Alligator mississippiensis: one gene and its partner. The protein of the gene in region 2 interacts with the protein of the main gene of each other region in a biochemical or structural test. Links are inferred from orthologs where the notes say so. Each region holds a gene or a part of one and is shown on either strand. Other genes may lie near its edges.

Evidence for each region.
Region 1: the proteins of PLXND1 (region 2) and SEMA4A form a complex in vitro, tested with the Homo sapiens proteins (2 studies listed by IntAct, with this or other methods). The link is inferred for Alligator mississippiensis from reciprocal best matches to the Homo sapiens genes PLXND1 and SEMA4A.

The regions. Positions count from the first base shown.
Region 1 is NC_081838.1:17,389,641-17,397,265, reverse strand, and holds the start of SEMA4A (semaphorin-4A), read right to left. Parts: upstream 3,296-7,625; 5' UTR 3,157-3,295; intron 1-3,156. UniProt on the Homo sapiens protein: Cell surface receptor for PLXNB1, PLXNB2, PLXNB3 and PLXND1 that plays an important role in cell-cell signaling. Regulates glutamatergic and GABAergic synapse development.
Region 2 is NC_081835.1:15,265,681-15,273,767, forward strand, and holds the start of PLXND1 (plexin-D1), read right to left. Parts: upstream 3,007-8,087; 5' UTR 2,965-3,006; coding exon 1,693-2,964; intron 1-1,692. UniProt on the Homo sapiens protein: Cell surface receptor for SEMA4A and for class 3 semaphorins, such as SEMA3A, SEMA3C and SEMA3E. Plays an important role in cell-cell signaling, and in regulating the migration of a wide spectrum of cell types.

The DNA of each region.
Region 1 (7,625 bases), on a different chromosome or scaffold from region 2:
ACTTGCAGTCTCGCATTGCCAGGCAGGGGACATGGAGGTAGACAGTGTGGCTGGGGCTTCCGGCCTGAGTCATCTCAGCTCAGCAGCTCAGAACGAAAGGAGAAGCAGGCAGTAACTCTTCCCTATTGCAACATACAGCTGCGTGCACCCCGCTGGGCAGCACATCTCTGTTGGGGTTCATGGAGCTGTACGCTGCAGCCCTATCAGCCTTGCTAGAAATCATCACTAGCATGGCATAAGGGAGACCTGCCTTTGTATAGCACTTAGCGCGGCAGGCGACCTATGTAGCCCCTGAAGCACCAATACGAAGACTCCCTTGCCACTGAAATGCAGCCACCTCTGGGCTAGAGCAGAGCGCCAAGTTGGCCCAGGACATATGCACCTACAAGAGGCCTGAGTCCAGATTGGGACAGGTAGTGATGCCCAGCAGACATGCGCCACCGAGTCAGAGTGGGATCATCCTGAGTCACTAATGCCCCTGGTACATACCTGATGCACTGGGTCCTAGCCCTTGGGCCAGGGAGCTCCTGCCTGGTCCCTCCCTGGTGCCCAAAGGACCAGGCAGTCCAAACCCTCCCCAGATTGCAGGTGTCTCTTGCCAATTCTAGGATCCAGCCCAGCTTTTTCCCTCCATCTCTTGATGTACGTCCCAGCTCCAAATTTAGTGTAACCAAAAAGAGGTGAGAAACAGTGAAACTGTGACTGGGTCAGGTCATAGGCCCATCTTGCCCAGTTTCCTGTGTCACATAGTGGAAAGGTAGAATCCGGGCGTTGATGTCCTCATTCAGCTCAGGCAGGATTCCCCAGACTCCGGGAGCTGGGGCTTTAAGAAAGGGGACCTGAAACCCTGGGAGCCAGCAGGGATGGCCGTGATGGTGGAAGGGGGCTGAGTGCCAGGGGAGATACCTCCCTGAAGGTTCCTGCTGCTTCCTGGCTCTAAGCAGGGGGCTGATAGGAAGCTGCTGAACCCAAAGATCCCGATCCAGAAGAGCGTGCTCCAGGCAGGGCTCAGGGCAGGGCGAGCTCAGGCCCAGGGGTGATAGATCCCAGGTGTGGGGGGAAGGGAATGGGGCATGATTTCAGCCAAGATGCTGCCGATCGATCGAGCCTCAAGAAGCCACAGCAGCACTGGGGACCTCCTTGTGGCTTCCGGTGCCTTGCAGAGCAGCAAAGAGCAGCAGCAGTGACAGGAGGGGCATAGAGCCAGTGGAGAGCATGCACAGCACAGGGGAAGACCCCAGCAACCACTCTGGATGAAGCCTGAGAGAGAAGAGGGAGCCTGCGGCACTGGGGAAGGGGCCCCATTCAAAGCCCCTGGGAGCTGGTCACTGCTCCAGCCAAGAAGCTGTAACTCCCTCCATCCCAGGAGCAAAGCCCTGCCTGTCAGCTCCCCAACCCCCTAGGCAGTGCTGCCCCCCTTCCATCTCCTCCTCCCAGCTGCAACTGGGTGAAAGGGCTTGGAAGTGCCTCTCCTACTCAAGCTGCCTCTGCTGCCAGGTTTCCTGGCTTGCAGAGGAGGGAAGGGAACCAGGGAGACCTGGCCGAGGCCCAAGAACAGAGCACAAGAGGCCTCGTGCCCACGATTCTGGCTGGAGGGAGAAAACACGGGGCCTGGGCCCCGGCAGGGGGTCTGGAAAGGGTCCCTGGGGGCTCGACACAGGCTCTGAGCAGGTGACCTTGCTTTGCACCAGTGCAAGGGATGGTGCCGCGGGCAAGGGCACCTACGGATTCCTAAGGGGAATCAGGGGTGCATGAACCCTGGTACTGGGGTGCTCCCAGCCAGCAGTGGATGGGGTTGGCAGGCATTGCCCTGCCTGAAATGTCCCCCGACTCCGCAGCTCATCCTCAGTGCCAGGGCCTATAGCCTCAATAGCTGTTTGCATGAGAGTGCCAGCAGCAAATGCGCAGTGACCCTGGTGGCTAAGCTCCTTATTTAGACCCACTTGTAATCTCCAAGTGCTGCCCCGTCCGCCCCGGCGCACGGCTCGTCATAGCTGAGATAAGGGCCCCGGGCTGGAGTGAGGGCATCTGCAGTGGGCCTGATGCTGCTGCTCCTCTTGCTGGGAGGGAGAGGGTGGTGAGTGTGAACGTGAGTGTGCGGTTGCACAAGTTTGTGTACATGCATGCATGAGGGTGTGTTTAGGTATGCAACAGCACCAATACACATGTAAATGCACAAGTGCATATGCAAGGGGAGCATGCATGTGAGAAAGTGCATGATCGTGGGTGGGTGCACCCAGGAGTGGGATTGCATGACAGTGAAATGCCAGGGTGTGATGTGAGAGTGCACAAGTGTGACAGAGTATGTAAGTGCATGTGCACAAGTGTAAGGCTGAGAGTGCACAATTCACAGGTCCTTTGGCAGTAGCAGGTAAAGGCTGCTCAGGTGTCAGTGGACCCTGCATCTCCCCACCCCTGGGTCCTGGCACCTGTGCCCACGAGTCCCTGCCCCTTCCACTTCTGGTGCCCAGCTGTAGCGGCCACAGCCCTCTCTAGCCAGCTGGACAGACTGATGGCCACTGCCCCAGGGAGTTATCACCATAACACCTAGTGGTCAGTGGGTCAAGCTGCCACAGCTGCGGGCACCCGACAGTGGGCATGAAGGCAGGTATTGCCTTGGAAACTGCGATGCCTTGTTTCTGTATGGAGATGATGGAGCGCCAGCTCCTCACTGTGCCCAGAGTCCAGCCCTGTGCCCAGCTCCCCACCATACCCAGTGCCCAGCTCCTCACCATACCCAGTGCCCAGCCCCTGTGCTCAGCTCTCCACTGTGCCCAGCGCCCAGCACCTACATCCCTGATGGCAACAACAGGCTTTGTCAAGGCAGAAACCCCATGCCCCTGCCACTGCCTGGAGCCAGGCACCCTGTGGCCGTCTGCCCCTCCTGCCTTAACCAGGGAGAAACATGCTTGGATGCCCCTGAGAGAGCCCATCTGTCCTCCCCCGTGCCTCGGTTTCCCCATCCCGGCCCTGAGCCCTGGAGCCAGGAGCTGGAGGGTGGATCAGCAGCAGACAACCCAGGTGTCCTGCTCCCCCGTCACCCCCTCCTGATCCACGCAGGACACAGAAAGCCCCAAATCCCACTGGCTTCCCTGTCACTCAGCTACAAAGCTGCGGGAGTGCGAGGTCCCCGAGCACCCCCACGCCCCCATTTACCTGCAGTGGGCAGGGGGCCGGGCACTCATCTGCCACGGCTGCAGGCTCTGCCGGCATCTGCCATCCTCCTGGCTGTGGCTTCTGGAGCTGCCTCCTAGCTCCCAGGCTGCTTTCCTTCTCCCCTCCCTCCTGGCCAGCCTCAGCGCTGGAGCATTAGTGCCGCCTCGTGAGCAGCACTGCCTGGCACTCCCGGCCTTGCCTCTCGCAGCTTCCCAGAGCCATAAACCCCGGAGCTGGCAGGAGGCAGGCAGGCTGGCAGCTCAGGCTCGGTCCAGGCTGGGGGGACCCAGGGCTTGTCCATGTGCCTGGTGGACAGACTGCCTCTAGGCCTCTGGGACGTGCATCACTCCCGGGCTCAGCAAAGCCTCCCCCACGCTGGGCAGGGATGTGGTGTCCCCCCTACAAATAAGCCTCAATCCCCAGGGGTTGCCTAGAGAAGAGACAGCCCCTTGCATGGATCCGACAACCTTCATGCTGAGCTGTCCAGGGCAATCACCCCAGCCCAGGCCGCCCAGGGGCTCAGATCCCCCCAGCAGCACCTCTGACTGCAGCCTGAGGGAGTGGGGGGATGTCCTAACAAGCCTTTAGGAGACTTAGGGAACCTGTGCAAAGATGCAGTTCAAATCATGGCTGTTAATGCCTGGGCAGGCAGGAGCCCAGACTGCCACCGCTTTGCTGTACGGTCCTGGCCAAGTCACTTAGCCCCGCAGGGCATGAATAGCTGGGAAAGCAGAGGACAGGAGCTGCAGCCTGCGGGTACCGGGGCAGTGCCATTCACCCCTGGGGAGCAGCCCGGCTGGATGGGCGCTCACTGGCTTTGCCATGGTCAAGGCCATCAGAAGTGAGCTGGTGACACCTAGCGCCTGCAGCAGGAAAGTGCATGGTGGGGGGCACAGATTGGTGTGTGAAGTAACAGGGGGTGACGCTGTGAACCAGAGGGGTTTGCTGTTCCTTTCCCAACCCCTCACTTCCAATCCTGGGGGGTTTCCTCTTCCCCCAACCCCGGGTGCTCCAGGCCCCAATCAGCTCCCGAGAGAGCCCCCTGACTCTGTGGAAACCCTGGCAGCCTCCAGACACGGCTCAGAGGAAGGGGAAGAGCATGTCAGGGGTCACTACGGGGGGGGGGGGGGGGGGGGGAAGGGGGGCGGAGGTGGGCGAGCATACAGCAGAGGCCCCAGCCCCACCAATGCAAGCTACAGGAGAGTGGAGGGCAGTGGATGGCTGCTTTCAGGTCCTGCCCCATTCCAGTACACCCCAGTTGGTGTCTGGGGCTAGCGCATTCCCCCCCCATAGAAGTCAATCCCAGCCCTCCTGAGGCTGTGGGAGGGGTTGTGAGGGAGTCATACCAGGGCAGCCTCAAGTCCCCTCTGCAGGAAGGCCTCCTCCAGGTGATGCTGGCAGGGATCCCGGCCCCTGCTCCTCCCTGGGTCAACCTCTTCCCCTGGGTCTAACTATGAGCCACCCTGGGGGGCTCCGGTGCCCCTAATTCCCCAGTCCAGTCCTGGTCGCCCCTCCCCAGAGCTCTGCCAATGCCCCTTGCACCCACCTGCTGCTACCCCAAGCCCGAGGCTCCCTCCGTGCTGACCGGCAGCCTCCCACGCAGGGCCCGAGAGCATCACCTGCTCCTTTCACTAACCCCAGCCCCCTATGAAATCACGAGAGGACACGGGCTGGGCAGGATTCCTCGTGTATTGATTTGGGGAGAAGAACAGGAACAGCGGTAACATTTCCACTTAGCAAGATGCGGAAAAGCGGGAATAGAGCCGGAGTGGCAGCAGGTTATCAGCAAACAGCGTTTTCTCTGGGAGGCAAAGAAGGGCCCCACTGGGCTGACTTTAGTGTTGATGGTGGGGGCGGGCAGGGACAAGGCAACGGAGTAGGCGGCTGGACCCAGTGCTGGGCAGGGAGTAGTGCATGGTAAGCTTCCTCAAACAGTGCCGCAGATACAAAGTGTGTGCTGCTGAAGGCAGCAGGGCGTTAGAGACTGGCTGGGCCCTGTTGGAGTGTCTGGACTGATCTCAAAATAGTGATACAAAAAAATCAGAGGGGGAAACAGTCTCCTGCAGTCCTTGTGAGCCCTCAGGTCCAGAATAGGCTTGGGGTCCAGCTCCTGTCCCCCTAGGCAGACCCCCAACCTCCTGCTGAAGGCAGGGGATAGGTGTGGGGTGGGGAGAGGGGCAGGATCACACCCACAGCGGAACAGGAGCAGCTAAAAGGCTTCAGCTCGCGGGGCTACATCATGGCTGGCATTAAGCTGCTCCTCAGAGCCGGATTTTCCTCCAGGCAAAGCCCTGGCCCCACCACCCCTTAGCACAAACCCTAAACCTGCAGACCTTGAAGATCAGCCTGGGGCAGCCCCAGTCCCTGGACTAGCAACAAGCACGTTTGGAAACTCTGCATCACTTTTAATGTCCCGTTGCCCTTGTCTGGTCTCGACCGCAGACCCTAGGCTACAACCCAGCTCTGTCTCTCTCTAGACAAGCTCTCTCCTTCCTCTTGCGCTCGACACCACCCCTTTTAAGGCACAACGTGGCTGCTTATTCATCTATCTATATATCTATATAAACAACTAATGCCTCTGATGAGTAATACAGTATGAAAAAAATGGGTCTTTCCCATGGCAAGAGCAGGGAGCAATGGGAGTAAGTGCAGCAGGCAGCACAAGGGGGGTCAGGAGGTAATGGCCCAGGTATGAGACCAACGGGAAATCAATGAGAACATCGTTCAGGCCTCTTGTGCGCACCCCTCGGTGCAGAAAGTGATGGGAAAATAGGAGGATCTGGGCCCCCCAGGACACTCACAGATGATTCCCGTGAGAGTGGGGTGCAGGAGCCTTAGTGCACAGGACAATCGAGCCTCAGGGACTGGATTTCCCTTTTCAAAACACAATTTACCTAAACCAAAGCTCATCCCACTCATTGAAATGAGCTTTGCTTTCAGGTCTAACACATGGCTTTGTAGAGCAACACAGCCCCCTTCCCCCAAGATACTTACAGGCACGGGGGGCCCATCTCAAATGGCTTTACATCAAACTCCTATTTAAAAACCTTTGGCAAAAAAATACATCTAAAGAGCTATTAAACTACCAATTTTTTTTTCCTCTCTCTTTTTTTGACAACCATCATTCGTTGACTTTGGCTTCAGTGTTTAAAAAGATGCAGCAGCTGAAAAAGCTCTTGTTGGTGTGGGTTTTTTTACCTATAAAAATAGATTTTCTTTCTTTAAAAAAAAAAAATCAAACCGTCATTTTGCATTATATTTCTGTGGTCGAGAACAAAACAAAAAATCTCAACCTTTCTTGGTTTGTTTTCAAAAGAGGGGAAGAGACAGGCAGGGAAAGGTACTTTTGCTTTAGGGGAAGAATAATTTGTTATGGAAAATTTTTTTGGCAAGGATGGATGATGCTGCAACTTTGAGGAGCCTGGAAAAGAAAAGAGGAAAAAAAAAATTATATATATAAGTAATAAAGGCTGCAGATAGCAGATACCAGCCAGAGAAGTAGTTGATTATTCCAGCACATTAAAAACACAAAGTAGAAATACTCAGATCCACTAATAAGAGATCTTTGCTTTCATCACAGAAATCAGCTTAACTCTCTCCACTTTACAAATGAAACGCAGCATCGATAACCCTGGCAAGCTGGCATATTCGTGGTAGGATATTGGGGTAATAATAGTAATTAAATAGTATTAATTGAATCTTCAGCTAGTAACATTTATCTGCTGTCTATTAATTAGGAGCGAAGAAAGGGGCTGGAAAGGACCTCATGAAGGCGCATCTAGTCAAGGCAGGATAAGGCCTGACTCAACCCTCCCAGCCCGGTGTCTGTCCAAACTGCTCTTGGACATTTCCAGGTGGAAGGAAACTCCACCTGCTCCACGGCTCAACCACCACAGAGCCAGCAAGATCCTTCTCATCTCCAACCTCAGGTCCCCCTGCTGCAGCTTGAGGCTATTGCACTTAATCTCACCCCTACAGCCACATAGAAAGGCCCATCTCCACCTTCGCTGTCATTGCCCTTCAGGTATTTCATAGAATCACAGAAAATTAAGGTTGGAAGGGACCTCGGGAGGTCACATCTAGTCCAAGCCCCTGCTCCAAGCACGACTGGCCCCAACTACATCGTCCCAGCCAGGGCTTTGTCTACCCCGGGTTTAAAAAAGATGGAGACTTCACCACCACTCTGGGGAACCTGTTCCAGTGCGTCACCACCTTCCTAGTGAGAACATTTTTCCTAATATCCAGCCTAAACCTCCCTTGCTATGAGTGGAGCCCATTGCTTCTTCCTAATATCCTGTCATCTGCCCCCACTGAGAACAGTCCAGCTCCATCCTCTTTGCAACCACCCTGCAGGGAGTTGAGGGCTGCTATTCAACCCCCCTCAGTCTTCTCTTCTCCAGGCTAAATCAGCCCAGTTCCCCCAGCCTCTCCTCACCAGTCCTGTCCCCCAGCCCCTGAACCATTTTCAC
Region 2 (8,087 bases):
CAAAACTTCAGAATCAGACCAAGATTTAACTACTGGCACCTTTCTGCCCACCAGCCTCATAGGCTTTCAGGGAACGTTTGTCAGGCTTTCAGGGACCAGGTTTCAGTTCAGGTTGGGAAATAAAGCTTGATCCTGCCCCACTGGAGTCCACAGAGCTTTTGCCACTGATACTGATGAGACGCAGGATAAGGCCACTAGAAATCTATTGTAATACCTGGATCTTGGTTGGTTCCAGTCAGCACCCAAGCCCTGCAAAGTCCAGTGACCCTCAGGTCAAAGGTTCCAGTTGAATCCCACCCCTAATCCACAACCACGTTAAGGATGGTTTTGTTAGTAGCACTACAAGGGAGACCTGTCACCTGAGGCACTACGACCGAACCCTGAAGAACAGACTCTGGGGAAGTTTTTTGTGCCTCTTTGAATGCTTTTGTTCCTCAACCCCTCCAGACTTCAGCCTGCTGTGCAATAATCACCCACGCAGCTAGCCGCAAAGGTACAAGGTTATATTGTTAGTCCAGTGTGAGACCCACTTCCAAGGGGCCTTACATCCAGTTTATTGGGAGCTTTGCTTGAGTGAGAACTTCAGGATGGGGACCATGGAGAGTACCAAACCCACCCAGAGGGCTCCAGCCTAAGCAGGGCTCCCTCATCTGAGCTCCCACCTGGGGGGCAGGGGGGAGGTTACCTGGGCCCCCACCCTCATCAGAGCCACACAGGGGAGTCTTCACTGCCACCAGGGCTGAGTGGGGAGTTATCTGACCCTGCAACCCACATCAAAGCTCCCACCAGGGCACCGCTGAGGGGTTACCCAGGCCCCCTACCCTCATCAGAGCTGCAGGGTAGGGGGATCCTTGTTCCCACCATGGTACAGGGGGAACAACCCTAACCCTGAGTCTCCATCCCCATCAGAGCTCCCACCTGTATGCAGGTGGGGCGGGGGTGACCTGGACCTCCCCACTCTCATCAGAGCCACATGTGGAGGGGTCCCCACTCCCAACAGTATACAGGGGGGTTCCCCAGCCCCCCACCCCAATTAGAGCCACACAGGGGGTCCCCACTCCCACCAGTGTACAGGGGGGTTCCCCAGGATCAGAGCCACATGAGGGGGCAGGTGCTTGCACCAGGAGGCTGCTGGAGTATAGGATGGGGGGTGACCTGGGCCCCACATCTCAATCAGAGCCACATGGGAAGGGGGTCCCCACTCCCACCAGCGTACAGGGGGGTACCCAAGGATCAGAGCCACATGGGGGTACCCCACTCCCACCAGTGTACAGGGGGGTACCCCAGGATCAGAGCCACATGGAGGGTACCCCACTCCCACCAGCGTACAAGGGGGTACCCCAGGATCAGAGCCACATGGGAAGGGGGTCCCCACTCCCACCAGGTACAGAGGGGTTCCCCAGGATCAGAGCCACATGGAGGGTACCCCACTCCCACCAGCGTACAGGGGGGTACCCAAGGATCAGAGACACATGGGGGTACCCCACTCCCACCAGCGTACAGGGGGGTTCCCCAGGATCAGAGCCACATGGGAAGGGGGTCCCCACTCCCACCAGGTACAGGGGGGTTCCCCAGGATCAGAGCCACCCGGGAGGCAGGCGCTTGCACCAGGACGCTGCTGGGAGAGGGATGCGGGGCTGCCCCCCGCCCGCACCCGAGGGCTGCCCTGTGCCGCGGGGCCGGGGGCGCTACCTGGATGGCCCTCCTCTCGCAGGAGGGCCCGCTGCCCTGCACCACGCTGTCCAGCACGGCCACGAGGCCGGCGTCGGGCGCGGCCAGGCAGGAGCGGCGCGCGGCGCGGATGGCCGCGTCCACGTCGGCGAAGCGGAAGGCGCAGAGCGCGGCGGGCGCGCGGGGGCCGGGGCCGGCGCCGCGCTCGAAGACGGCGAAGAGGCGCTGGTCGGCGGCGTCGGGCGGCGGGAAGACGGACACGAGGCGGTTGTAGAGCTCGGCGCCGGCGCCGCACTGCAGCCCCAGCTGGATGTAGGACTCGGTGAGCTTCTTGGTCTCTCCGGGGCCGGCGGCGGCGGCGTCGGGCAGGCAGATGCGCGCCAGCAGGCTGTGCGCCTGGCTCTCCTTGTCGCCCGCGTTGGCCTCGCTGTTGAGCGCCAGGTAGGCGAAGCGCGCGCGGCGCAGGAAGGCGCGCACGAAGCCCAGCTTGTGGCGGGCCTTGGCGCTGAGCTTGATCTTGAGGATGTTGTCGTCGGACGGGTTGAGGTCGAAGGTGAAGAGCCGCGCCAGGTCCCCGCGCGCGTCCAGGGCGCGGATGGCGATCTCGGGCGTGTTCTCGAAGCGGTGGTCCTCCAGGCTGCGGTTGCGCGGGAAGAAGGGGCTGCCGAAGCCCGTGTAGGTGGCGCCCACCAGCAGGCGCGTGTCGCCGGGCGCGCCGCCGGGCAGCACCAGCCCCACGGTGGAGGCGTTGGGGTGGTTGGCCGCCACGTTGAGCATGCTGGGGAACACGGTCACCGGCTCGGCCGACGGCACGGCGGACGGGGCGTTGGCGGCGTGGGGCGGGAAGCGCACGGCCACGGCCGAGATGTTGGCCATGCTGCGCAGCTGGCACGAGCCCTGGTAGACGGAGCCGCACACCACCACGATGCCCTGCGCCGCGTCGGGCTGCAGGATCTTGTTGTAGTTGGGCGTGGGCACCCGCGCGTGCTCGCACGACGCCTGCGGCAGCTGCGGGGCATGGCACAGCGGGTTGTCGGGCACGGGGCCCACCTGCTCCTCCGCCTCCAGCGTCAGGTTGGGCCCCGCCAGCTGGTACAGCCGGTTCACGGCCGCCACGTACACCCGCCGGCCCGGCCCGTCCAGCGCGAAGTTGTTGGTGGGGGTGGGCGACGGGAACTTGCGCTGCACCTCCAGCCCCGCGCCCGCCCGCAGCGCCAGCGCCAGCACCACCGCCCGCAGCAGCAGCAGCAGCAGCAGCGGCGGCGGCGTCCGAGGGAGCGCCCGCCCCGCCATGCCGCCGCGCCGGGCATGGAGAGGGCACCCGCTGCCTGCGGAGCCGGCGCTGCCTTTGTGGCGAGCCCGCCCGCGCCTCTGGACCGCCCCGACAGGCGGGATGGGATGGGGCTCGGCGGCGCGGAGGCAGGCGGCACCCTCCCCCCGTGACAGCTCCCGCCCCCCTCCTTCCCTTCCCTTCCCTTCCCCTTCCCTTCCCTTCCCTTCATGTCTCGCTTTGCTTCAGGGGAAGGTTTCTTTCCCCCCCGCATTGCTTTCAGCGCTACGAGGAGACCTCTCCCCGCTCCTCCCTCAGACTAGCCGCCCTCACAGCCCTCCCCCCTGCTCGGACGGACTAGAAATAGCCCCCTTTCCTTCGGGTCTAAGCAGGAGAAGACTGACAGACCCTCGCAGGCGATGTCGAGACTGGCTACCGCCTGCGCCCGGCTCGTAGCTGGCCGTCCTAAGGGACAGCCCGGGTGTCCTCTGTTGACGCAAAAACCTTTAGGTCCTCTATTTTTCTGTTCTGGTGGGGGCCACCTACACGGGGTTGAGCAGCCCCTTCTTCGAGAGAAAAACGGAGGGCATAAAGGCACCGGGTTTTGTATCAATAGGGGATGGAGTAGCAGAAAACCGGAATGTCCTCTGGGATGGCCACCCTAGCCCCCCCCGGAAAAAGAGAGTGGGAGAGGAGTGGGTGATGGTGACGGGGGCAGGAAGAGATGAAGGGGCCGGGTACGCCCAGCGTGGAAGGGGTGACACTGGGTTGCTGGCACAGCCCTTGCCCGGCTGCTTTCTAGTCCTTGTGGGGAGAGCCTGGTGCAGCAGTGAAAGGGTCTGAGTCGCCTGGGGACTTCCCCGTGCCTGCCCTCAGCCGGGAGGGGACCTGGGGGGGACAGTGGAGGCTCTTGTCCAAGTTCCCAGGGGAGGGTTCAGAAGCGGGGGCTTCTCCTCGCAGCTCCCAGCTCTGATCTGTGCTGAGGGGACGTGGTGGGCAGCGACCAGGGTGAGGCATCACCCCCTTGAGGGCTCCTCCTGTGCCTCCTCTCTCAGGACTTGCCTACAATGGAAAGTTACTGCAGGGAGAGTGAAGGGTGAGGGGTGTAAAATCCGTGTACAAGTCTAAACCCCGCATGGATACTTTTATTCTGGTAAAAGCCTTTTTTTTCTGGGGTAGCTTAGGTCATTCCAAAAGGGTCAAAGCCTAATTCTGGAAAAAGAGTGTGAGAGGCTATGGCTACATGACTGGCATGGCAGGGAACCTGGGGGCAAAAAGCCCAGAGGGAACTGCCTTAATGCAGCTGTGCTCCAATGAACAGCTGTGGCTGGAAGAAATTGCACTGCCCTGGGAAGAAACTGCCCCGGCTTGGAACCAAGGCAAAAAAAATCCTTGGTTCAGGGCAAACTGACCTCAGTTTTAGGGAGTTGCATCAAGTGGCTGCAGCGTTTTTCCTCAGAGCATCTGGGGTTTTCCAGGCTACCTTGTTCATGTGGCTGCAGCCAGAGTGGCCACTTGAGGGGGTTTTCCCTGTATAAGCATATTGGTTTAACAATATCAGGATACCAGCATATCATTGCAATACTTTAGTCAGTGGGCCCCAGTTGGTGGCTTGTGGGCTCTGAGTTGTCCACAAGACCTTCTGATGTTACTTGCGGCCACAGCTGGGACTGAGGTTGCCCAAGGGAGCCCGCAGCATGTTACTTGCTCAGTGGTGCTGTCCATGAGCCAGCAGAGCCAGGGTGGGAAAGTTGTCAGGCTTTCCCATGAACATAAGCCTTTACAGACAGAGTGGCATGCTATGGTGATACATACATTATAATTGCTGGACATTTGCATTAATCCATCAGTAGGAGCAATGGGACGGCTCACACCTCAGGGTTAGTATATTAGGCTATCTGCAGATCCGTGTGGATTTCAGTGACTCCTGGATCATATTTCTGAAGCTTTCTTTGCAGCCATACCAAAATGAGACTGGCTCTGATTTAATGACAAAATTTAAATTTCAAATGTAAATGAAAGCTGAGATTCTGGAGGGCAAAACGCTTTTATGCTGTATTGGCTGAGTTTGAGTTTTGGTGTTCAGCTTCCGTTCCACTTCAGTCCTGGGTCTTTCTGCTGAGACTGTCAATACCAGGAGTGGTTTGATGTGTGATGTGAACGCTCGCATGCTGGGAAATAACCCAAGGCCCACTATACTCATTTCGTGTAATCTGCATTGGCAGTGAGGGCTTTGTCCCCAGTGTAGGAGGAGACCGAAGGGGTAGGAGCTTTTGCCGAGATTTCTCTCTAGTTGCTCCATTAGGGAACGGGAAAAAAGTTAACCTGAATCTGGCTATTCAGTCTCACCTCTATGGGCTGGAGCACTGTAATGCCAGTCCAGCACATTGTCTGCCCATTCCCCTTGGTGGATTTACTGACCCGCTGAGCACTTTCTGTAGTGTTAGGGGAAGGAATCCTCTGTCCCCAGCTCTGCAATTTCATTGCAAATGTCACAATGTGGTATTTGCTGTGTTTCTTAAAGCCTTCACTCCTGGAGTCATGTGAATCCATGCAACTCTCTGGTTTCTCCTTTTAAGAAGAGGGATGGTTTTAATTGTCATGATTTAGTTTAAAAAACGCAAGTGTAGCGAAACGGTTCCAAAACCAAAGGACAAATAAAAGGAACCCTAAGGGTATTATGAGGGTGCCTCCCTTCATTATGGAAGATGTGAGCCACATGAGAAGGGACATTGCCATGCACAAATAATGGGGGTGGGGTGAGGTGAGGGATGCAATTAAGTCACATTTCTGATCACTAGACATAGAGATGATCTATAAGCTAGCGTGGAAAGGCTCTGTATACTGCGTTCAATTCCCTGAGCCTTTCTTTAGCCTGGACTGTTCTCATGTTACTTGAGTTATTTTCATTCATACAAAACCTATCAGTTAGGCTGATGAGGATTCTGGATGACTCGTTTTCTGGATAGAAAAATCCTCTGTTGTTGTCTAATCTCATTTCTACACCTGCCAGCTCTCTTCACCTCCTTCCTGTCCTTTTCTCCCTCTTCAGAGCTCTAATTAATACATAACTGCAATGGCCATGCCATGCCCACTGAAAAATGTGCATTGAATTAAATACGATGCTTTCCTGCTATCGAACATATTGTCTCTACTAATCACATCCCTAATGGATAGAGTTATTGGCTGTTTTTTAAATTTAGAACACCAACACTGTTTGACTTTTTTTTTACTTTAACTTTTCCATTTTTAAATACAATTGTGACTTTAGCCACCCAGAAATAAACCCATGTTATAACTATAATGATACACATTTTAGCACTGTTCAATCTAGAGCTTCCGAGGGCTTTATCCATGTCAAAGGTAAGGACAAACAAACAATTCACAGCAAGTTACAAGGGAACAGGAACTTACTGCACATCAGCTGCCCCATGGTACCATTTGTTTGTCCACTCTTACCCCACGATAAGTGGAAGCTAATCTACAGGAATTTAGCCCTGAGAGCTAAGGTGCTGCAATTTAGCTTTCATTTATTTCATGGCAAGAGCAGGCACATTAACAGTTACCCATGTGATAAGTCCCTATGCCCTTTTAATTGACTATATTTTGTTTGTTTGCCCACACCCAGCATAATTAAGCTGTGACTGTGAGCCAGCTAAGCCTCAATATCCCTGTTTTCACAGAACTGATGCACAGAGATCCACATTTTCAAGAATGGCGAGTTATTTAAATAACTCCATTTCAGGGACCACAGCCTCTTAAACTATTCACAATAAAGACTGTATACTGCTGCCCGTCTCTGTAGTAGCTGTGCTTCTTCTAAGCAAAATCAGTCTTTGAGGGTGTCTCAGATGGGGTACCCAAAACATGAGGCACCCAAATTTACTAGTCATTTCTGAAAACGCAAGCCAAAGGGTGTAAGCAAATTAGTGGCTTCCCAAATGAAGACAGTCACTGGCCTCATCAGTAAGAGAACCGGGGAGTCCTGACTACCATTTCCTGTTCTGACCACTAATCAAGGCTGATAGTTAGAGCCAAAATATTTGTGGCAGTGTGAAATTTATCTGCTAAATATTTTATTTTTGTTGTTGTTAGGAAACAATCCCTTGATAAGCTGCTTTGAGCGTAATGTTTTCTAGAAATGGATTTTTCCCCTATTATTATCTGTTGAGTTAGAAGCCCTAGCGAATCTTTTAGGATAATGCTGCTAATAGAGGTAATAGAGGTTTTTAAATCTCTAATACTCAGAGCTTACCATTATTTTTTATTCAGGAAGGAAGAAAGGCCTAAAAAAATACACGCCTCCCACTAAGAACAATTGCCCCCTGCCAAAATCCTTTCCTGTTTGACTCTTATGCAGGTTTAAAGATAACAGCTTTTTAGACATCTCTGTGGGGGAGAGGGTTGTGTGTATAGGAACACAAAAACACTTTAATTATTAATAAATATATTTACACAAGAACAATTTCCCTTTGGGGGAAACACGAGTTACTCATGAAATTACTCAGGTTATATTGCCGCAACACTGTCAAAAAAACCAGGATCTAATCTCTTTACTATGCAGACTAGAAACATCCATTTATTTTCTTGTTTTTTCTCTGCATGGAAGGCATAAAGTATTTTGCAGATACAAAAGGAGAGTTCACCATCACACATTGGTAATGGACTGGTTTGATTCAGCAGACCCAAATAAATAACTTGCCGTGTGACAATTTGGAAGGGAGAAAGGGGCTGGTTTCTAGATATAACAGATCATTGAATGTGACAGTGTCCCACTGCATAGGATTGAGTTAGCTCTCTGGCACTGAGGGTTGTCTGCCTGTCTGTCTCTCTCATTCTGTCTCCTGTAGAATATTAAGAGAGAGAAATTCTACAAGGCTCTTTAGCTCAGTAATTGAGCACCTGAAAGCAGGAAAATCTATTTTTTGATTATTATACAGACTGTATCTGGGAAGGGTTGGCAATTTCCCAAGCCTGATTCAAGTGTTGCCTGGTTTATATATGGGAGGGGGAGAGGGAGACAGAGGTGTTGTGAGCAGATCTGTTTGACACTCAGTGTATTCTTCCTGGGAGAACTGGGGGTTATGCAAATCTGTCCTTTTGGCTCAGTGTACATCTCTCTTTTGGTCTGCCAGGCTTGAACAAA